Oreochromis niloticus: one gene and its partners. The protein of the gene in region 2 interacts with the protein of the main gene of each other region in a pairwise test. Links are inferred from orthologs where the notes say so. Each region holds a gene or a part of one and is shown on either strand. Other genes may lie near its edges.

What was found. The genes of interacting proteins can lie anywhere in the genome.
Region 1: the proteins of serine/threonine-protein phosphatase PP1-gamma catalytic subunit (region 2) and ppp1r16a interact in binary tests that used the Homo sapiens proteins (3 or more experiments, as listed by UniProt). The link is inferred for Oreochromis niloticus from reciprocal best matches to the Homo sapiens genes PPP1CC and PPP1R16A.
Region 3: the proteins of serine/threonine-protein phosphatase PP1-gamma catalytic subunit (region 2) and csrnp2 interact in binary tests that used the Homo sapiens proteins (3 or more experiments, as listed by UniProt). The link is inferred for Oreochromis niloticus from reciprocal best matches to the Homo sapiens genes PPP1CC and CSRNP2.

Annotation. Positions count from the first base shown.
Region 1 is NC_031974.2:21,578,684-21,586,667, reverse strand, and holds the start of ppp1r16a (protein phosphatase 1 regulatory subunit 16A), read right to left. Parts: upstream 3,017-7,984; 5' UTR 2,909-3,016; intron 1,021-2,908; exon of another isoform or gene 834-1,020; intron 321-833; 5' UTR 115-320; intron 1-114. Other genes in the region: foxh1 (forkhead box protein H1), read left to right, coding at 5,552-6,025, 6,655-6,759, 7,015-7,980. UniProt on the Homo sapiens protein: Inhibits protein phosphatase 1 activity toward phosphorylase, myosin light chain and myosin substrates.
Region 2 is NC_031977.2:6,410,711-6,418,654, reverse strand, and holds the start of serine/threonine-protein phosphatase PP1-gamma catalytic subunit, read right to left. Parts: upstream 3,010-7,944; 5' UTR 2,638-3,009; coding exon 2,583-2,637; intron 2,170-2,582; coding exon 2,038-2,169; intron 1,901-2,037; coding exon 1,670-1,900; intron 1,497-1,669; coding exon 1,392-1,496; intron 1,152-1,391; coding exon 928-1,151; intron 1-927. Other genes in the region: myl2b (myosin, light chain 2b, regulatory, cardiac, slow), read right to left, coding at 4,718-4,822, 4,923-4,971, 5,049-5,127, 5,210-5,314, 6,584-6,659, 6,747-6,836. UniProt on the Homo sapiens protein: Protein phosphatase that associates with over 200 regulatory proteins to form highly specific holoenzymes which dephosphorylate hundreds of biological targets.
Region 3 is NC_031984.2:9,326,501-9,333,591, forward strand, and holds the start of csrnp2 (cysteine/serine-rich nuclear protein 2), read right to left. Parts: upstream 3,017-7,091; 5' UTR 2,333-3,016; intron 2,302-2,332; exon of another isoform or gene 922-2,301; intron 833-921; 5' UTR 819-832; coding exon 659-818; intron 544-658; coding exon 281-543; intron 1-280. Other genes in the region: tfcp2 (transcription factor CP2), read right to left, coding at 4,613-4,650, 4,786-4,837. UniProt on the Homo sapiens protein: Binds to the consensus sequence 5'-AGAGTG-3' and has transcriptional activator activity. May play a role in apoptosis.

The sequences.
Region 1 (7,984 bases), on a different chromosome or scaffold from region 2:
TTAACGTCAACGTCTCAGCGACAACTAAGTTCAACTTATACACAATCGTTTGAACCGAGCAGGACGTGCAGACTCATTGTAAAACAGTAGAAAAACAAAGTGGCGACATCTTACCTGTTGAGCTGCCTGTCAGCGGTAGGTCCTGTGCGAGCCGTGAAACTGAATCAGCTGCTGTCCGCCGCAGCTCCAACTTCAGCCAGCCCTCTGGGGAAATGCTTCACCATAACAACCGGACCTGCGCCCTCTCCTCCCGCCGGACAGCCTCCACCAGAGGGCGGCAAAGTCTGCAGGTTGCGGGGCGGCAGGAGACAGGTGATCATCTGCCAAAAACATGCCCGTATTTAAACTGTTATAAATGACTTGCTGACTCAAAAACACAAAAACATTCCAATGTGTAAGCAGCATTCAAGCTTTTGACAAAGTGAATTTTATACATTATTTATTTATCCAGGTACAAAAAAAGTCTCTCTGAGATTAAAAATGGTATTTTTTTAAAATGAGATCTGGCCAAGAGGGCAGCAGAAATTGCAACAAACATAAAGGCTCTATAAAGATATTTTAAGTGGATAGACCACAGTCATTGGGATAGACTGATAGATACTTTATTCATCCCCAGGGGGGCATTAACAAATTCCGCATACATGCTAGACAGGCCTGGACTGGTACAAAAGAAATCACGACACTATGTACTGACTAATAATGAGTTATACTGTAGTGCATCATGTTATATTTAAAAGCTGTACTTTAGCTATTAGCGGTGGCTTGTGGTCAAAGTAGCCATTCATTTTACTTGAATCTCTGCCCTTCTAATTTTTTCCCTCCATCATTCTTACCACTCTCTTTTTGGGACTTGTCTCTCCTCCTGCACTTCTCCAAGACTAGTGCTAACAACAGCAGTCGTTTGTGACGCGAGGGTTTTTTACTAGTTGTTGCTGTTGACAATGTAGCTACCTACTAACATGTCGGTTAATTTGACTCATTTTGTTGCATTTTTGTTTCTCTTTCTTTTTGTCTCTCAGCTTTTCAGCTCCACCTTTCGTTTTGCTGTCTTTATCAACCACGTCTTTCACAATAAAATCTCGTATACAAGGTGCGCGGGCGCACAGGGAACGCTGGCAGGGGAGGGAACAGTTTGAAATTAAGATATTTGATTGGGCAATCCAGTGTCAATAATGAAAATGTACCAATGGGCTGCTGTGTTTGAAGGTCCGGTGCACAGCGGGCCTACGACCTGTTGCCTATATAAGCATATCGACCAAAAACAAACAAACAAACAAACAAAAAACAATTATATTGACCCCGGTATGCCAAATTACCAGTCCAGCCCTTATGATACACATTCAATAAATACTAACAAACACTAATAGATACTTGTAAATACGCAGTATTAGTTAAAAATGAAACAAATCATCAAAAATCATCAAAATCTTTGCTTGATCACTGGAACAAAATGCAGATGGCCTATTGATTGTGACACTGATGCAATTACAACCTGCATTAGTCATGATATTAAGTTAAGTCACAGAGATCTTACTCGTCTAGTTGATTGGACAGCACTGGTTTCTTAATGCTTAATGATTGAAGCTGAAATGTTGAAACTAATGTGTTTCTGGTTGAATGTTTGCCAGAAACTGAAGTTAGCCAACTTTGTGGAAAAATCTGTGCTGGTGCTAAGGATCTATTAAGCCTTTCCGCAACCCTAATGAAGCTGGCATGTAAACAGTAAATCACATTAACATTCATATATTTATAGATGCAGCAGAATTCATTTTAGACACACACATGGTGCGATTATCAAAGATTGCACAGCAGTTCCAGAGAAAGTGGAGTGGACTGGAGTCTTAACTGTGGTCATTATACTTTCATGTGTGTGAGTAGATATTTCAGGCGATTACAACAACTTTTAATCAAGAAGTTCAGATTTGAACATTCAAATGAGCAACTTGAGGTTACGGTATGCCAAAAGACTACTAAAAAGGAATAAAAAAAACATTAAAAAATAAACAGGTTGAACTTACCTTAGTGTAAAAACAACCCATCCTTCATTTTTAAGTCAGATATTAAGGGTGTGTTTGCATGTATAAGGATGTGTTTGCCTATGCACCTGCGTTCTTAGAAATGTGAATTCACTGCAGTCTTTTCACAGTAAACTGTTAGGGTGTGTTTTGTAACTAAATGATAATCGCTGCAACACACAAGCCTGAACAAGTGTGTCTTTACCACTCCCATAATTAAAAATCAATTTTGAGGCACTCAGCCAAAAACACTGTTGGACAATGAAAAACACAAGGTGTCCCTGTGAGCATCCGAATCAGTTACTAAATCCTAAAAACGAGACAGACACTGAAGACCTGCTGACCCCCGCAGTGACCCAGCCATGCATCACAGCGGTGATACCCTGCAGAGTCACAACAAGGAAACTGCGTTGGAGCTTTTGTTACCATCTCTGGTCCTCGGGAGAAGATTCAGTGTAGCGCTTCTTCAAGTGTTTTGAATATGCATAGAACGAATTTCATAAAAATGATGGCAAACAAAGAGCAGAGTGACTTGTAATTCTGAAACCAGTGATGCCCATGTTTAAAATCAATTGGATTTGGCTTACACAAATATTTATTATCCATTTCTGTGTCAGGAAAGCAAAGAAATCTTCAGGGTAAATGAAAATACTACTTTTCAGGCCTTTTAGTTTGTCATTATTCTAGTTTTGAATGCTTCAGCAGAGCCAAAATCCATGTGGCATGACAGATAAACACTGCCTGATACCAGCCTACAGACAAAAGGTCAGAAACACCTGATACAGGTTTTTCTAAATGCTAGTACTAACCAATGGTATGCTTTTTTTATTGCTTAAGTAAGCAAAAGTCACTCTTGTCTTAATTGACACATCTCAGATCAAACTTTTCCTTACTTTCTCTAAAGAGCATGCCTTTCTTCCTCCTCTATCCCAGTATCGGGATGGATGACAGCTTAGGAAGGATTTGTCTGGACTCAATCATCCCACGTGAAGAGCCTTGTCCCTGATGCTGACCTATTCACGTAGGATCCCATTCTCTTTATGTGTGGCTCTCTAATCCAGATCAGACTTATTAACTAGCATTCCAGCAAACAGGAAGGGATAAATTGACAGTTTGTATTCAAATCGGTGCGTCTGGCACTGAGCCCTTCATTGGAGAATGTTATGCAAATGCAGGTGGAAACATAGTAAGTGATAGTTTAGGAGTTTCCCCATATACACCAGTGATTCCCACCCTTTTTTGTGTCAGGTTTCAGCATGTGTTCGGTACTGTTTTTCCAGTACCTCCTAAAAGTATCTAGTATTTAGTTATCTCTTTTACTTTTGTTATTATTATTATCTGTTACTTTGTAGCATTACAATTAATCTGCCATTCCCTGATTGAAAATGTATCCATTACTTTCAGCTGTTTCTTAACTTTCAGACATATACCATGTATTCATTTTTTATGTATAACTTACAGAGGTTTTCCATTTTTAATCTGATTTTTTGTTTGAGACTCTTAGGCTGTGAATCATTCTTATACCTGTTTAATTGTCTCCGAATCTCTCAAATAGAAAGAGATATGAGGAATTTAAATTCCACATATTTATGAATCTTATTTAATGTTGCTTAATTTTAATTCTTCCATGAAGTTAGTACTTCTGTGGGTTTTGAGTGAAACCGCTAGGGGGGGATAAACCTAAAGAGAATATCACCGACAGTGGAAGAAAAATACTGACCCAATTTGAAGCAGGTGTGCAACGGAGATTTGATGTTCACCGTGTTTAGGAATGCCATCTGACCTAGAAAAACAAACAAACTCATTCAAATATTTTTGCGTATTCCTGCAGAAATTACACATTTGTGCGGTAAGTTTGTCACACGGGCGAATTGTTTATTTGAAACAAAGCAAAAACTATCAGAGCGTCCTTTTTTATTTTAATTTTTACAGCAACCTGATTAAAAGAGCGCCATCAGCTTTGTTGCCTGGACATGTAAGGTTAACTTGTGGAGTGGTGTGATGTGAGTGGGGGTCAATGTGAAAACGCCCAGTAGCGCCTGTTGAAAGTAAATGGATTTTAATTGCAGGAAAACGGAGTTGTTTCCAGCTCTGCTGTTTCTGTAACTTTCAGGTGACACAACTGTTGGATCAAATCAACTTTAATCTGCGCGTTAGTGCGAAACTCTTTACAATCCCGTGCCAAAGTTCACGCTTTGTCACATGATGGATCCTAAAGTTGATTCTTTGGTTGACTTGTTAATAAAAAAATTTTCTGCTTGAGGGAGATGTTGAGGCATTTTCCAGCAGCTGGGGGTGTACGTGATTGCCCCTGTTTAAGGTGTGAATGTTCGACCCAACTACAACACTTAGCAGCTTGTAAGCGCCAGAAACCCCACAAATGGTGTTGAAACCCCCCGTATTTCCTCACATGCTAAGCAGCTTCTCTTTTTCTTGGGATGGAAAAGTCTCCAGCTTCCCGATGGGGTTCCTTCTAATCCAGCTTGTTTTCACTGTCTTGCTGGGAAGCAAGAGTTTCAACATTAGCACTACGTTAAGTTGAACAAAAGAGGCGCATACCCGAAAATAGTCTTTTCAGCGCTGAATGGCATGCTCAACACTCCCAGGGAGACCCCACTGTGGAAAAACACCCCCGTCGACTGCAGCGCGTTATCAAACAACACAAAACAATGATGACTTCAAATATACTGCACCTACTAATCAGCTGATCAGCGTAGTTTATGCTTTTCTTCTTTTTTTTGGAATAGCTTTCATGGGAATAGTTTCTCCTCTGGATTAAGAGCCAAATCAAATACACAATTTGGCTAATTTGATTTTAGTTTCTCACAATTAAAAAAAATATCTAAAAGAATTCAGTAGGCAGTGAAGGCTAAATTGCTTATTTAATAATTAATAAATAAATGAAGTACTGAAAGGGGCATCTTTAGTGTTTGTATATTAGCCCTCTCTTGTGTATATTGCTCATCTATAATTGTTGATTGCATCCGAGGTTAAATCGAAATTACTTGTACCCACCCTACCCCCACAAGTTTTACCTTTCACGTCTAAGCCCAAGTAAAAGCTTTAGTGATATTAAAATTAAATAGACAAATAATTTAAAAAGTGTACGGTAAGCCTAAAATGTGTAATTGTGTAAAGCCAGACTTGTATTAATGTAGATGTGTTCCCCAAACACTTAAAGTCTCCAAGCAAGAATCTTGTAAGCAGAGTTTTCTAAAGTAGTTGCGGAATCACTACGTTGCATGTCGGCGTGTTGATAAGGTATCGTATGGGTGGTTTACAGTTTGGCCCTCTCTTTCTCTCCCTTCTTCGCACACAGACCCAGCCCAGCCCCCAGGGCCGATCAGTCATTCTGCTTTCAGATAACGCATCATTCACCCCCCCGATTACGCAGCGGGATTTACATGAAACTGTTAATTGTTTGCTCTTCAAATAGAGTCAGCCTGGAGCCAGCAGTCTGCCAGAAGTTAAGGACCGACTCTTTGACCTCCTCCCCCTCTACGTGCAGAGCGATATTCCTCCCCTGACTGATCAGCATGACAAAGCATTGGCCGGGGCAGAGTCTCTTGGCACCGATCGCTTCATCCCACCTAGGAGAACTTCTCGACCATCAACTTGACTTCCACAGAAATGAGCAGCAGAGTTTTCCTCCCAGCGGCGTAGCGCCGTGGAGCTCACCAGCCCAACACTGGCCTTACCTCTCGGATCCGATGCCTCCCCAGCAGCTGCCGCGCTCGGAGGAACCAACGGAGCGCCCCGGACACCTCACCGGCGCCACAGGATTCATGGCTAAAGAGGAACCGCCTGGATCTTTCAACCCGAATGATCAAGATGGACAGTTTAAGCAGGATGAAACGCAGGACATGTGGAAAAGTGAACGGGAGAAAAGAAATGCCGGCAGTGGGAAGAAAAAGAACTACCAGAGGTACCCAAAACCTCCGTATTCCTATCTTGCAATGATCGCTATGGTCATCCAGAGGTCTCCAGAGAAGAAGCTGACGTTAGCTGAGGTAATGATAAAACTAATGCTTTTATGTGTTAACTGTGTAAATGCTGCCGGAGTTTGGCATTTGTGTGTAGACGATGCGCGCGGTGTTTTACGCACGGTGCCGCTTATGATCGTCACTTATTGCATCAGCAGAAGCAAATCCATCACTGTGTCGTGTATTTAGAGTAGACTCCATTAGAGTTTTATGCGAAATTTCTACAATCTGTCTGAGAAGATCGTTTACAGTTCCTAAAGTGACACTAAACAGCCACATCGTCGTGACACTTGAGTGACTTCTACCCGTTCCCTTCTTGGTTTGCTGAGATAAGGGTGGACTGCAGTGGAACCAGACGCAGATCTGTATCAGAAACAGTGATAAGATATACAGTACATTCCAATATTAGGCTTCAAATGGGGGCTCCATTCGCTTTTTGTACCAGATGGAAAACGTATTTTCAATTTGTTTAAAATTCTATTATAAGTTCAATAAGTATAAAAATCCAAATCCTATATTGAAATTTGTAGTTTCACCGAGCTGTTTTTACGCAAGCATGGATTGCAGTTAACATAGTGACTATATAACGAAAATCTGTGATGCTGGTGTGTCTGTGTTGGTTCAGAATTTAATGCTGATATTTGTTTAAATTTTAGATCCTCAAGGAGATCAGCACCCTCTTTCCATTTTTCAAAGGAAACTACAAAGGCTGGCGAGATTCTGTGCGACACAACCTTTCCTCATATGACTGCTTTCTTAAGGTTTGTATGGTAAAATGTTACGTAATGATCATTAAACAGAGAAAAAACTAAAACTAAAAAAAACCCTACTCTTGTAGTTTTTCCCTACACTCGTGTAGTGTAGGAATACACCATTGGAGTCTTTCTATTAAAACCTAGAACCCACTTTAAATCACTTGTGTTGTGATAATTATTAATGAAACTAGGTCAGTCCTGTCAGACTAGGTTGTCCAGGCAAGCACTAATATTACTGTCCATCCTTCCTCCACCCTGTAGGTATTAAAAGACCCAGGTAAGCCACAGGGCAAAGGCAATTTCTGGGCAGTGGAGCTGAGCCGCATTCCTCTGGAGCTTCTCAAGAGGCAGAACACGGCCGTGTCCCGCCAGGATGAAACCATCTTTGCTCAGGATCTGGCTCCTTACATCATGCAGGGACACAACCCTGAGTCTGAGGCACCTCCTGAACCTGTGACCTCGCTCCCTCCCAAATCTTCTGGAAACTCTTTCCCAATGCAGGACGACTTGTACAGACCTAAGCTGGATTCGTCCTTTGCCATCGACTCCCTGCTACACAGCCTGAGGCCAATCAGTGCTTCAGGGGATTTAGATATGGCTTCTGGGGACTGCTGGGGTGAGGTGGCTCGGGCTCGGCCTTCACCGGCTCCGCAACATCGTTACACCTCCTCTGCTCGCAGTGCCTCTGCAAGCTCTGCGAGCCCAGCCTCCACCTCCTCCTCTTCCTCGTCTTCATCTGATGAAGAGTGGAAAGGAGTAACTGGGAAGCGTGTTCCTCCTGATGTGGAAGCAGGGGCAGATATTTGCAGGCCACCACTGCAGAAATCAGCCAGACGGGAATCTGTACCACCTCCATGGGAGCTCCCTACCTCCTACGCTAAATATGCACCCCCGAATGTCGTTGCCCCACCTAGCATGCGTTTCAACGGGGGTCCTCTGATGCCCCTGCACAGCGGGCTACCCATTTACGGCTATGGTAGCTCTCCCATGACACCAAGTCACTTCTTGGGCCATACATACTGGCCCATCCTCCCCAGTAGACAAGTTTCAGTGAGAGCCCCTCCTTTACTCATGGACCTGGACAACATGTTGCAATCTGTGCCTCCAAATAAGAGTGTGTTTGATGTGCTGGTACCAGCCAATCAAAACTCTCACCCACACCATCAGCAGCCCGGTCAGTACTCTTTGCAGAATGGGGCTCCTCTCAACCGGTACCATCAATACTGAGTAT
Region 2 (7,944 bases):
CAAAGGCTAACGGAGCAGACTGATTCAATTTTATGTTTGTGGAGCAAATGAAGGGTGTGCTGCATCTGTCTGCGCTTGTCTGGTAGGAGAGGCTCATGACAAAGCGCAGAGAGCTGCACTATGTACCGCGGAAACACCAGCCTATCAGTTTTGCAGCACACAGACAAATCTGATTAGACACTATACACTTCACAATTCATCTTGATACTTCTATCAGCAGCTACATCATCTAGCACACTAGTGGCCCAGGTTTACTGGTCACTATTAAAGTCTAACCTGGCCTCTGGTCAGGAGTTTCAAGTAAAACTTGTGTATTTACGTTCACAATCACTTGTCTTAATTGCAGACTTGACATGCCTCAACAGTGTTTTTCCTTATTAGGCGTCTTCTGTGGACTTAACAGTCGTTGGTGTTACTGATTAATAAATATAATAGTGCATTATTTCTGACTTTTCTGTTACCGTCAGAAGAAACCACTTACTGACCATACTCTATATTTACATTAATTAGCTACACTCTATTCTACTACTACAAGCTACTGTCTATTCTGACAAATGTCTTTCCCACAAAATTACACAAGACTGCACTGAAAGCTGAGCTCTCTTATCTTTGCACTGGCATTAAATGGCAGCATTAAAGTAATTCGTGACTATTCTAACATCAATTTCTCTCCATATTCTTTAAGTCTCTAGATATTTTTTTAAAGTAAAGCTTTAGTTGAACTTGTAACAACCTCTGGAAATACACAAATAATTTTACTTTGATGCAAACGCAAGCCAAAAAGGTCAAAACCCACTGTCCACAACACGCACCATGTGTGCTAGTATATTATCTCCCTGTACCAAGTGTTTCTTGCCTCTGGCCAGTACACGGCCACCTCCCACCTCCCACAGTGACGTTTCTGTTTGTGATGACGGAGGTGAGTACCTGATGGGCACGACAGATCAGGTCCAGGTCATGCTTGTGCAGGAACTTGGCTACCACCTCTGAGCCAAAGGTAAATGACACACCTCTGTCGTTCTCCCCCCAGCCCAACACATCCTTGTCTGGATCAGACCAGAGTAAATCACACAGCAGGCCCTGGTCAGGCACGTCAGTGGGACGCATGATGCGTCTGATCTGCTCCATGGACTGAAGGTCAGGGGACAGTCCTAAATGGAACAGTAAAGTAAAAGTACAAATAAACACACTGATACTGAGGTCAGCACCGATTGGAACTGGGTGAGCTTCATGTCAGGTAACAAATTGCAAAGACAGCGTTTCTCAAGGACAAATAAGAAACGCTGATATCAAATGTACACAACTTCTGACATCATGCATACAACCAAAAGACTGTAGAGTAGATAGTAGAGTTTTGTGCCAAAACATTCATTCTGCGCATTATAACCCACCGCCATGGCAGCAAAAGATCTTCTCATCAACAATGGCGGCAATCGGGAGGCAGTTAAAACAATCTGTGAAGGTCTTCCAGAGTTTGATGTTGTACCTTCTTTTACCTAACACAGTAAGACAAGAAATTATATTTAATTTTTTCCCATTATCTCATACCAACAACCTCCTTCAAACAGTTTAGCCGGCAAAAGAAAACGCAACAGAGAATCTGACAGGTACCCTTAATGGACACAAGAGACCCCAGGCTGGACATTTCTAGTCATTCAACAATACTCACACTCATCATAAAAACCATATATTCTGTTGATTGAAGCACACTCATGGTTTCCCCTCAGCAGGAAGAAGTTTTCTGGGTATTTGATTTTGTAGGCCAGTAGAAGACAGATGGTCTCCAGTGACTGCTTCCCCCTGTCCACGTAGTCCCCCAGAAACAGGTAGTTGCTCTCAGGAGGGAAGCCCCCATACTCAAACAGCCTCAGCAGGTCATAGTATTGCCCATGGATGTCACCTGCAAGGCAAAGATACCAAGCTGAATTATACACATTGCTCTTTTGAGTCATAAACCACTTATCATACGTCAGTACATACTATCAGCCAATTGCTGAGTCAATCTTTTCTGGTAAGTAAGTGCACAGCTTTTCTTACCACAAATCTTGAGGGGGGCCTCCAGCTCCAGGAGAATGGGTTGACTGAGGAAGATCTCCCTGGACTTGAGGCATAATCCACGAATCTCGTTCTCCTGCAGCTGAACATTCTTGCCAGGTTTTGCTCCTCTGACTGGAACAAGAAGACAAAAATCAATAAAAGTCAGTAAGAATAACACCTAAACACTATTCCAGCTAACCCGGGCACGGTATCTCTGCCCGGACGCCAAGTGGGACAAACGGTGAGTGTAGAAGCCATATGCCGTGACGGAATTCGCGGTGTTTGTGTATGAGAACACAGTGTACGTGACATGTCGTTTCACACCCTTCAGACACACCAATATTCTGACTCAAGAGACGCATTATATAAACCTGGTAGCCAACATTAATTAAAATAATAAGTTATCTTGCAAATATTTCTGATTATTGTTACTAATTATTGCCACAAGATGAACACCAGCTAAAGCTAGCTATCTACTATTAGCATTTACCATAACATTTAAATAATAAAACAAGTGTTTCGTGGAAATTTTAGTATTTACTTACCTTCTAAAAGCCGCTGGATGATACTATCTATGTTGAGCTTGTCAACATCAGCCATTGCAAGCGTTGGTGTTACGAAAAAATCGCTCCAGTAGATCTAGGTCTTCGCGTTGACACACTTGTGAAAGCTAGCCCGCTAGCTATCCTAGCATTAGCTTGCTAATGTTAGCTTCGTCTATTTTCCGGCTGAGGGTAAAAGATGTTGCCGTGACCCTGATACTGTTTAGCCGCTCGCCGACACTTTTGACAGGCTAATACGCTACTTAAAGATCGCGATTTTAAAAATGCCAACATCAATTGTTTCGTTTTGTTAAAAAAAGGGACGGGGACTATAAAAAAATAAGCGTCAACCAACACAAGCGGTTGCTAGCGACGGTGTCCCGTTTCTGTTTTTCCTTTGCCGCACCTTGTACTGCTAAAGCCAGCGGCTTGTGCTGGTAGCTGCTACACTACTGCCCCCTACTGTGCTGGATGGGGACAGCTTAAGACTTTATGAAGTCCTTTAAATTTTTTTCTTTGGATATTTGTTGATTTTTCACTCATTTTCAGTCCAGTCCTTGTACCTGACCATTTTCAGAGGGATATTTTTTTTTATTTGCGTGTTTTGTAAGCTACTTAACCCACAAAAGGGACCTAACTCAAGAAATGAATCAGTGTTGTTTCTACACATAACACACGACTTAGCGCAGAACCAATTTTAAACTGTACGTTGAGCCACTTTGTTATAGCCACCTGACACAGTACCTGAACGTCATGTCGTTTGGACAACATGACAGTGATACCAAACACACTGCCTAAAAGTATATCTGGATGGAAAAACACACACTATGGTTTGGCCTCCTCAGTCACCAGCCAAGTCCTCAACATTATCGAAGCAGTGTGGGATCATCTCAACAGAAAACAGAATAACAGGCAGCCAACATCCAAAGAAGAGCTTTGATTGTCCTTCAAAAAGCCTGCAGAACTATTCCTGAAGACTGCTTAAAGAAATGGCAAGAAAACGTCCCTAAAAACGTTCAGCCTGTTGTGAAGAATAAAAGTATTCATATCAAATATTGACTTTGAAGTTCATTAGAAATTTCTAAACTTTTGGCTTATATAGTCTATTTCCATGTATGCTTGATCTTGTTTCAATAAATTGCTCCACTTATTTTCCATTTTCCTAGCAAAGTATAATGAAATTAGGTTTTTTCACCATACCGGATATTAATTTTACAGGTTCCTGTTCTGTGTTATCTGAAGAGGAAAGAATTCAGTATGATGAACACTTTTGCTTCAATTTGAAAATCAGTTAACCAATAAAAACCTTAGAGACGCACCAATTTCTAGACAATCAAGAAATTGATTTACATGTAAAATAAAGATAAAGGGTATACAGTAAGTGTAATTACAGATTAGCTTCACCATTAACAGAAAGTGAGCTATGGTGGAGTAGCCACCTATTCTTCCATGGAAAAGTGGATGCAGACTGTTTAGAGTTTAACTTTAACATATATTTATTTAAAAGTTTTAGCTGTGATTGATAAAGTACAAGTATAGTCTCTAAATAGACACTGCATCTTTCAGATTAGCTGAGGTTAGTGAAAACCTGGGTGCAGTTGTTGTTTAATGAGTAGAAATTACTCCCTTTGGAAAATAAACCTTTAAACAGAGCCTTTTAAAGGACACACTGTCTACCTAGCAATCCTTTCCCTTATATTTATACACTTAAAGTACTCTTTAAGGCAAAATTGAACAAATGGGTCTTGGAGCTTCTGGGTTCCAGTGTTCTTCTACTGATCAACTGTGAGCACTGAAATAAAATGACTATATACAGATAATTAAATATCAATACTTATGGAAGATGAAATACACTGAGATTCAGCTTCTCCAATGCATCTCTCTGAGGTTGAATCTTTCTTTATTGATTTGTCAAAAACATCTGACGTCAAATACACTTTTAATTTCACCTTTGAAGAGATTACTAATTTATATTCAAATAATATACATACATATACATGTTATAATCATGAATGAATGAATAATGAACACATTGATCCATGTGCACATTCAAAAACTGAAGCTGAAGTTAGTTACATTTTTGCTGTCATATGTGATCATATCTCAGCACAAGTACGACCCGGTGAGGGAGGACGTGATTATTCCTGGTCTTTCTCTTCACCGTGTGTGATGACATAGACGAGGTTCTTGTAGTCCAGGTTCCCTGCCACATCTGGAGGGAACGCCTGAAACATCTGCTCCATCTTTGGGTACGAAGTAAAAAGAATGGTTACAGAGCGTATCTGCATTTATAAAAACTCAAGGCTCCACAATCTGTTACATCGTCGGAGGTGGAGCACTAACCTCTTCAGCAGAGAATCTGTCAGCCTGGGTCGTCAGCATCTCTGTCACACTGTGAAGACGAGCAGTGATGATCAGCAAACGAGATGCAAATATCACGAGTCGCTTAAGAACCAGACTATTACTCACAACTCTTTCTTTAGTGTTCCTTTTCCCTCAGGGTCAAAGACTTTAAAAGCATTAAGGATAGTCTCCTCTGGGTCAGCACCTATAGATGAAAAGTGGCAGTTCTGCATTGAAGAAAAACAATTTCACTTTTTTTCAACGTCATATAACGGCAACTCGTTTACCTTTTAGTTTCTCTCCAAACATGGTGAGAAAGACAGTGAAATTAATGGGCCCTGGTGCCTCCTTCAGCATGTCATCAATCTCTTCTTGTTTGACATTTAAACGGCCTGAAAAACATGGAATATATGGTGAAACGGGGGTTGCAATTAATGCTCATTTTTTAAACTGATATTTTATTGATGGAAAATAGTCCAATAAAGAGATTAAAACAAATCCACAAAAGCTCAATGGAACTATTAGATGGGTTGACTATACCATCCAGCCCAAAATGACCAAAGAAGGAATTAGAAGAGGATGCAATTGCTGGAAATTTGGAATAACAACAGTTTTCCAGCTTTGTATTAAAAAAAAAGAAATCTATAGAGATTTTTTCAAGGCACATTCTACGCTTGGTCCTTTAAATATAATCTAAAACCGCTGGAACATTTAAACAAATGTAGAACATGAAGTCAGCAAGCTTGATGGACAGTATTCAATATAATACACAAAATTTTCCAAAAAAATTAAACAAAATTGAATCCCAGGTCGATAAAGACTAGAACAGATTTGTTGCAGTAAGTTAAGGTTCTTCTTATACAAAATAAAAACTAAATGAACAATAATAAAGAAAAATGAGGTGTGGCTTTTGATAAAACTCTTTGAATGACTATCTAATCAATGTATTGGCGTAGAAATGGAAAATGGAATAGATCACACCACAAATGTTCGGAATAACTAGCTCAGGCAATAGCTATCATTATATCCAGAGGACATAATGTTGTTTATTGCAAAATGACTCAGTTGCAGGTTTAATACATTTAGTAGAAACAGTTGGAGATATTTCCGGGTATGCAGTAAATATGTTGGCAGTAAACCCTAGGAAGGAAAACATATGTATTAAAATAAAAACACCGGGAAAGGTTTTGAAACTCTTTTTGAAATATGTGGAAGATCTGGATCTGACCAGGAGTCAGTCAGTATCTGTTTGTTGTGAACCATGTGTTATTTAAAAAGATAAAAATATCCTTTTAATGTAAATTGGATCATGTTTGTTTGCTGTGCTTTTCTTGTTTAGTCTGTTTTGTATTCTTTTTAATAGGTTTGCTTGTTTATGTATAATATTAATAAGTCTTAGGTTGGGGGAAAAAAGTCCGCTAATGATTAATCTGATGACTGCTACAGCTCAGTTTGTCAGTTATCTGTTTCTTCAGACATTATTTTAAAAATGGTAATTATACATCCCAGAACTCAAGGTGAGTTCTACTAGCTGAGACAATGAAATTCGTGCATGTGAGAAGCTGGAACCTGAGAATTCCTAAGGTTTGTTTTTTGCTGGACTTGTGTAATGTAATCATGTGAAACCATCACAACAGAAACGTGACACACAGTGAGTTTACCTAAAGCTGCAAAGGTGTCCCTCAGGTCATTCTTGTCAATGAAGCCATCTCTGTTTTGGTCCATGATAGTGAACGCCTGCAGGAGTATACACAGCGAGCAGACATCGCAGTGAGTAAACCGCTCAAATTCAATGTGAAAGAAAGCATTTGGCAGAGTACCGACTTCTTTGAACTCCTGGATCTGGGCCTGTTCAAACATGGAGAACACATTGGAGCTGGCTCCCTCCGCTCTCTTCTTTGCTTTCTTGGGTGCCTGTGGGGGGTTTAACGATGACACTCTTAATTAGATCCAATAGTAATGACACACGATCGTCACCTGGCTCTTCCGTATGGCTTTACTCGTTATCGGTTTTACTGTCACACGTGGTAATGAGCCAACGATCAGCTCACTCTCACTAAGTGCGTGTGTGTGTGTGTGTGTGGTGGTGGTGGTGGGGGGGGTGCATCCATTGCACAAGAGGAAAGGTTTGTACTGGGGGGCACACATTTCATTAGTGAGGATTACAAACACTGTCAGTTTGTTATGGAAATATTTATTCGAGCCTCCAGTTTTGGGAGCACACAGGGTAAGCCTAGGGAGGGTGTGGTCCACTGCCTGCACTCTCATAGTCCCAGGATCACATGAGGGATTATTCTATAGGGTCTATGTGATGACAGGAGGGTACACTGAGCCCTGTTTGATCAGAAATCCCTCAGAGGGAAGGATTATGTTGAGCTATTTACATGACTGCCAAGAAACTGTGAAAAACACTGTAAGGGGGATGCAGCGCAGTGACATCATGTTGCTCGGATTCAGGGTCCTCTCGACAGCTGCTGTCTAACCCTTGTTGTGGATTAGCTCTTGTATATCTCATGGAAGGGACCTCTGGCATTCGGATACATTTATTTAATTATTTATTTTGTTTTAAGAGGATTCATGTACTCGTGGGCAATGAGGCAGAATTTGCCATTTCTTGCTGTTGCCCAATGCACATCACTGTTGGACCAGCGGAAACTTTATTGGGCCAAATATTACACGAATAACCACTGACCTCTTCATAGCCTGCACCTGTTGCTCATGTTTCTCTGCTGTCTGCTCCGCACTCCCTTTGTTTTGCTCTTTCCAACCCGGTTGGCTGCTCTTCTAAGTCTCTTCTCTGTTTTTTGCTGCCTTTCTCTCACCTCTCTCCTCTTCATCCCTCCCATTTCCTCTCCTTAAATATTGTGTGTGTTTTAAATGTCATTGTTCTGTTTTATTGTAAACACGGAGGAAAAAGTCGCAAGTAAAATATATTTTTTTTAAGGTTAAGGCTTTCCTTACCGTCTCCTCCTTCTCAAGTCGAGTAGACAAATATCTCATCAATAGGACAACGGGAGCATTG
Region 3 (7,091 bases), on a different chromosome or scaffold from region 2:
TTGAAGTAAAATTGTTTCAGGAGTTTAATGGGGGTAATTACTCTTCAGCAGGACACCTAGCAACTCACGGGCATGGGAACTATGGAAAGGGGCCCCAGCTAGACTGTTTTTGTACGGGGTCACAAAGCAGAAAGTTTTGTAAAGTCTTGAAGGACAGAGCGGAAGTACATGTACTGAGTCACTACTGCAAGTGGAGACATGCAACGTGCCCACAGCTGCAAGATACTACTGTGCCTTGAATTTTGACCCTCTTGGGGTACGACTGATACATCTAATCTACCTTCATTTTGCGGGCATTCAGCTTCTCCTGGCGCAGGTGCTGTCGCAAAGTGTGCCGGTGACTGGTTTCCTGTTCGCGTGCAAACTCCCCCAGTGTGTAGTGTCTGATGGAGGAGTGGTGGCGGGCCATACCCAGGGAGCTGCCCCCTTGGCTGGGCACGCTGGTGAAGCCCTGCCGCCGGGGGAAGTAATACACCGTCACCAAATCAAAACGTACCCGTTTCCCCCCTGGTGACGGCTTGTGCTGCCTGAGGATAGAGGTGGCTAAAGCAGGGAAAGAGGGAGAAAGATTTTCAATACAGTCTTACACACCTAATACTAAATACTCGCGTTGATTAACTGTTTAGTTTCTTTTGACTTCCTTTAATGAGATTCTTACGGGTAAATGCAGTGCTGGAGGGAGGGTTGAGGCTGTCACAGCTGTCAGCACTGTCACTGCTGGAGATGTCATCGTCAGAGTCCTTAGGTGTAGAGAATGGAGAGCTGTTGTCCACCTCTTCATATCTTCGTTTGAGGCTGAGGGACGAACCTGCCTCCATGGAAACTTAAGTATCTGGGGGCACAGAGGAGCACAAAAAAATACCCAGCATCAGTAAATGTGTTTCAAAAGATGTGAAGACATGACACGTTGTGATTTACTACCTTAGAAACAAAATGCTCCTGTTATCACTTAGAGAATGAGCTAATTTTTTTATCAAACTGTTCCTCTGTAAGGTCAGCTTGACAACAAAAACAGAACAAAAAGGTGACATCTGTTCGCTCCTGCCTCCTTTCATCTGTATTCCAGCTCCATCATTTCGTCTGTGTGGCTCCCATCTCACATGAAATCCGACTTTGAAATTATCAAGTCTGAAAATGTAACCATGGCAACTAGGCAAGCACAGTTTATGCAAGCAGCCTTGAAGCAAATAATGTCTGTGGCTTCACAATCTGTTTTTACCCCTAAAAAAATCTGCTATAAACTGAGTGTAGTGGGAGGGATCGATATGGGTGAATTTGAAGGAGGGAGCTGATCACTTCCATCTGTAGGAGAGGTCAAACAAGGTGAATGAAAGCAGCTAAATACATGTCTGATGTTACACTGTGTTATGTCCTGTGCATTACACAGACATCTGCATTCACACAGATACATTTCAAATAATTACACATCAATATTAACACCGATGATTATATCCCATAGAGACACTATATCCATCTACCTTAAATCTACCATATTACTACCATACCTCCTATAGTGTGAACCAGCTACTTCTCAAGGTAATTCATATTTTACTATGCAGCATGCTGTAATGTCATTCCAAAATGGAGCAACTCCCATTCTGTAGTTTTTCAGTGTTTTTAAGTCCATGAAGGAGAACGTTCAAAATTAAAAGGACTGACATGTACGTTTATAGCATAATTTATGTAATAACTGCACAATTAAATTTGTCCTTCAGCTAAAAAGAGAAAAAGGGATGTGCTGATACTGCGAAGCTGCTCAAATGCAGCCTAAGTGATCTTTCCTGGAACTACTTCTGAGGGGGGAAAGTCCAAAATTATCTAATCTATGTCCTAATAATAATTATGAGCATTAAAGACTAATACCTTGACCTAATTTCAACAAAATTGCCCACCTTGACAGGCTGTAAGGGACAGGGCCTAACCTGTAAAGATGCAGCTGTGGTTATAACACCAAATGTGTGCCCTTTTTTTAAAACCAGAGTAACACATCTGACATTAAATGTTTATTTCAGTTTAAGAATTTAAGGCTTTTCTTTCAGGACTTAAGTTTGCCTTTGACATGTTACAGGATGTTTACCGACAGGTGTGACTTCACGGTATATTACCCGTCAGGGACACGCAGTTTAGAGGAGCTATTTGTTTAAATGTGGACATACCGACTGACTGTGTTGGGGGAGGTTAGATATTGCCAGTCTGACAAGGCAAGGCTCTCTTTCTCTCTGTCTCTCCCTCTCTCTTTCCATTTCACACACATACACACACAGAGAGAAAGAGAACCACACACAGACACAATGGCAAACCGCCCGGTTAATGAAACACTAAACCCACTTACCTGGGGCAGAAACAGGGACCCTTATTCCAACCAAGTCGTAGGTCGTTTCTGTTTCCAATAGGAGCTGCACATCAATCTTTCAACGCCCTATGAGAGGCTCTTTTATGCCAAAACCGAGATCCCTGAACCGAGTATCCAGACTGCAACCGTGGAGCCGAAGTAATCTGGATGAAAGCTTGCGTGATTGTCAATTTGCAACACTTATATTTGGCTATTTCAGGCTACTTAGGCTTCATGCTCATTGTTCTGCACACTGAAAGATGACGAAGAAAACAGGAGCTGTGCTAGACCGGCGGGTTTTATTTAAATGATGCATTCCTATCTATATAAAGGACAGACGATAGGAAGAAGGGGCGTCATAGGGTTAGCTGCGCTTTATTCTCCAACATTTTTCGGTGCAGCATGAATAATGTAAGACGCTCAGTGTCTTGTCTTCCTGATGTAAGCCTTTAAATGGGTGTAATGGAGAAATCCGCTGACATCTGTGTTCGTTTATCCTTTTCTTCTCGCCGGGGCGGGTTCAGTCGTCTGGGCTTACTTCGCCGTCTTCTCGCAATAACGGTGCGCTCTGCTCTTTATCGTTTGGTGTCAAAATCTTGCAGGTTTTCTAGCGAGAAGACGCCTTTCTCCCCGCTTCGCCCCGGCCCCGTTTGTTACAATGTAACAATGGAGGTAGAAATTCTTCCCTGTAGCAGTATATATACTTATTGTGACATCACGGCCATGTCCTGCGCCGGGGTATGCTGGGAGATGAAGTTTCTATTTCGGGTTTTTTTTTCCTGTTTCTTTGTTCATATTGTGCAGAAGCAGATGTGCAAAACACGACACCTCAGTGCGCTAAATTAACCTGCATTTAAGCTTAATTTGGTTAACAGTATATGACATACTAAAGTTTACTCAAATGTCAGTGACTAGGCATCCACATCTGTACACCAAAGGGACAGATGTGGATGTCAGTGACTAGGCATCCACATCTGTACACCAAAGGGACAGATGTGGAGCCTGTGCTAGACAGTGCCAATAAAATATCGTGTCTCCTTTTATAGGAAAGCTTCAGAACATTTAGAACACGTTAAACATTATTTTATATATTTTAAAGAAAGATGTAGACACCAAATAGCAGCCAGTACATGGTTAAGTTTTAATAATGCCGATGAGATGAGGGGCAAATATGGATATCGAGCCATCAATTCCATTTACAACATACTCAACGTAAACCATATTATTCACATGCAGCTCTGTACTGCCCAACAACTTATTTATTAGCATTTGTAACATCCAAAAAAAGGAAGCAGAGCAGATGTAAGTATGTAAAAAAGATTTTTTTAAAATGTAAAAAAAAAAAACCCCATGATTCATCATTTTAAATTATTTTAAAACAATGATCCATTTCAAAATTATGATGGAAATGACCAAAAAACAAACAATAAAACTCTGGTGTGCTAAACAAGCTCATAGATACAGGAAGCAGATGGAGACAATTTGCTGGTGTTACCACGGAGATCACTAACACAGACAGTGCTTATCATCTTTTAAGACGATTAAGTAACAATCACATGTGCCAGTAAGCATTCTAAACAAACTATGACAATCTAACAGTGTTTAGTAGCCTTTTTTTCCACAGAAGTAACAGGCAGACATTGTTAGCTTTCAAAGGAACCTCTGATATTTGGAAGGGCAGCTGGATTCTAACAGTTTCCCTTAATTGTCCAGTTGTTAATTTTAATACCTGCTGTACTATGATTCAACTGAGTGGTTGTGTTTCTTGCAGACTGGCTTGGATTCGGTAAGGCAACCTCGCATGAAGAGGACGACTCATACTGAATTGCAGGCTGAAAGTCAAGTACCGTCATCTTTAATGTCATCATTTGTTTTGTTTTTTTTAAAGAGAGAACAAACGGCTGAACTCGAAGCAAAGAGTCTTGGCAATACCAGATGGTCAGGTAACAAACAACAGCAGCTGTAGTGCCATTAACCTCCTTGAGATGTAACCAACAGAGGGAAATGCAACCATTTAAGTGAGCAAACGGCAGGGTGACACTTCACTGTGGAACCAGAGTCACTCCCTCAAAAGTCAGACGATAAGGTAAAGTTAAAAGAGGGGCAACTGCTTCAGTCGCATCTTCCTCCTAGCTGCCTCACAAGGTTTTTGTTTTGGGGGTTTTTTTGGGGGGGGGCACATCTCCAGAAAGGAACAGCAAAAAGTACAAAGCTCTAGAGGGGCTGACTGAACCAGGACTAAACAAGAGAGAAGCACTCGACAACTCTCCTGCCTAGGATTCACTTTAAGATTATATGGTAGCCGTCACTTGTGTCATCTGAAAAAGAAAGGAATAGAAATAAAAATAAAAATAAAAAATATCAGGGAAAGACACTAAGATAAACTTGCAGCAAGACTATAACGGTAAATACAGATAGAGATAAACTATAATTTTTTGCTGCCATAGTCATACCTTTCATCGTGTCCAAAACAAAACAAACTTCATCTTGGAAATTCTGAATCATCTGTGGAGAGGAGAGAAAATTATTATGCAGGTGGGAAAAAAACAATATCGTTTGCAGGTTTATGCTTGTGTAAGCTCTTGAGACCGTAAGTTGACCATATTTCTGTCTTTCTTTGAAAATCTTTTAAGACAAACAAAAAGCTACAACTGATAAGTCGTTAGCCTACTGTTTCAACTGGCTGTTTTTAATGCCTGGCTCCCTCAAAAAAAGGGGGGGGAAAGTCATAGTCTAAAAATTAATTGGACAACTTTTAGCTTTTATAACGACACACATTCACTGTGGTATCATTTTGATCGGGTTACGTAATGCAACATTTAGTTTTGTCCAGAGTTGCATTCATTTTTTTAACTTGTATGGATGATGAGAGAGTCGGACTGCTGTGTGAAGTCTTCCCCAGCATATCCCAAAGATTCTCACTCGGGTTAAGATGTGGATGAGTGTGAAAATGATGTGTCACGCTGCCTGAACCACTCTTTCACATTTTGAGCCTAATGAATACTGGCATTGTCATCTCAGAATATGCTGTACTATCAGAGAGATGAAAAAACAAACCCCGCTGATTAAAAAAAAATCTGGTCATTCAATAGATTCAGGTAGTCAGCTGACCTCATTTTATGGACACACAGTCTTGCTGAATCTAGACCTAAATCCTGAATCCACAAGCTTGTAATGTAGGTACTAGTCTTGATCAGTGCATCACTTCATCCACATGTGTTCCTACCCTAAGGCACGCATCACTCTGGAACAGGGTAAATCTGTACTCAGCAGACCACATGATCTTTTTTTTTTATTGCTCCAGAGTCCCATCTTTATGTTTCCTTGTAAACTGATCTGGAATTCAATTTTCCACGTGTTATATACTAATGCCAAGTACATGTGTTTTTGTAACTGCAATAGACTACAGGAAGCTATGGGGGCACCATCACTTATATTGTCTTCCAAGGCTGCACTCAACACTAACAAAGAAGAACGTAGCGCAAACAGCAAAACAGGAGGATAGAAGAAAATGGAAACTTTTTTTTTTATGTGAAGTCATTTCACAGAAAACAAACAAAGTTGAATCCAGATGGTGCAAAGCAGACAGCACTACTGCAGTGCACAAGCATTCAAAACGCCGGCGCCCTGGAGCTGGCTTTTGACAGTTTTAGAGAGTTAAGTTAGTGCGTCACGTTGATACGTTGTTTATGTTAGTGTTTGTACAGTAATGTTTATGTTAGCTTAGTTGTCAGAAACTTCTTAGGATGATACTTTCTAAGCAAACAACATTTCAGTTTTGTTAGCTATTGAGTTTAATCCAATACTAAACCATTAAACAGGAGTAGCTAAACTGCTTCCTATTTTTTTCCGTACATTAATATTATAATAAACCTCTTCTACCTAACGTTAGGTAGTTAATCTGTGGGTTGGACTATATCAACAAATAACTATATAATAATTATAATCAGTTAAACAGGTTAATTGGCAGTGAGTACTACACCATCTGGTTATCAGCTGCAGCTGAGAACATCATCTCAAAAATAAGATCAAGCCTCACTCCAGATCATGTCCACTGCAATCATGAATTCATGAATCGAATCATCTGTAAACTTTGGAAACTGTTTTTTTGGGACTGGAAAACAAACTTTTTAATTTAATTCGAAGCTTTATTTGAACTTATGGACTGAAGCCATTTTTAGTTTAGTTTAGTTTAGTTTAGCGGAGATAAGAGTTATAATCATTGGCTAATTGACTAATCAAAGAAATTGGCAGATTAGTCGACTACCAAAATAATCTTTACTTGCAGCCCTACTAATTAGCATTACTACTGAGTAGTTATTTTAAGGCTACACAGCTGTTCAGTTAGAACTCCTTGAGTTCTCTTTGCATTGTGGGAAAATGCTTTTACTTTCAGTATTAAAACATAGCTGTCTATTCCACTGCTGTCCCCCCCCCCCCATTGATCTTCAAACATTCAGGATTTATTCCAACCACACTTCTTTCTCCAAGATGGTGGTTCACCACTATCCTTCCAGTTTTTAACAAAGTGTTGGATAGGTTTTAACCCACTTTTAGTAGTTTAAGCAATATCCTTGGTTGTTTTCTTTGCTTGCCAATAACATGATCCAACCTTTCCTAACATCTTTCCATAACAACAGGATGTCTTCTAACATGGGTTAAATAACCCCATGCTGAAACTCACAAATGACTGTCATTTGAGCCAGGCAGCATTTAAAAAAAACAAAAACAAAAAAAAAACAGTATAAAAGTATGAGAA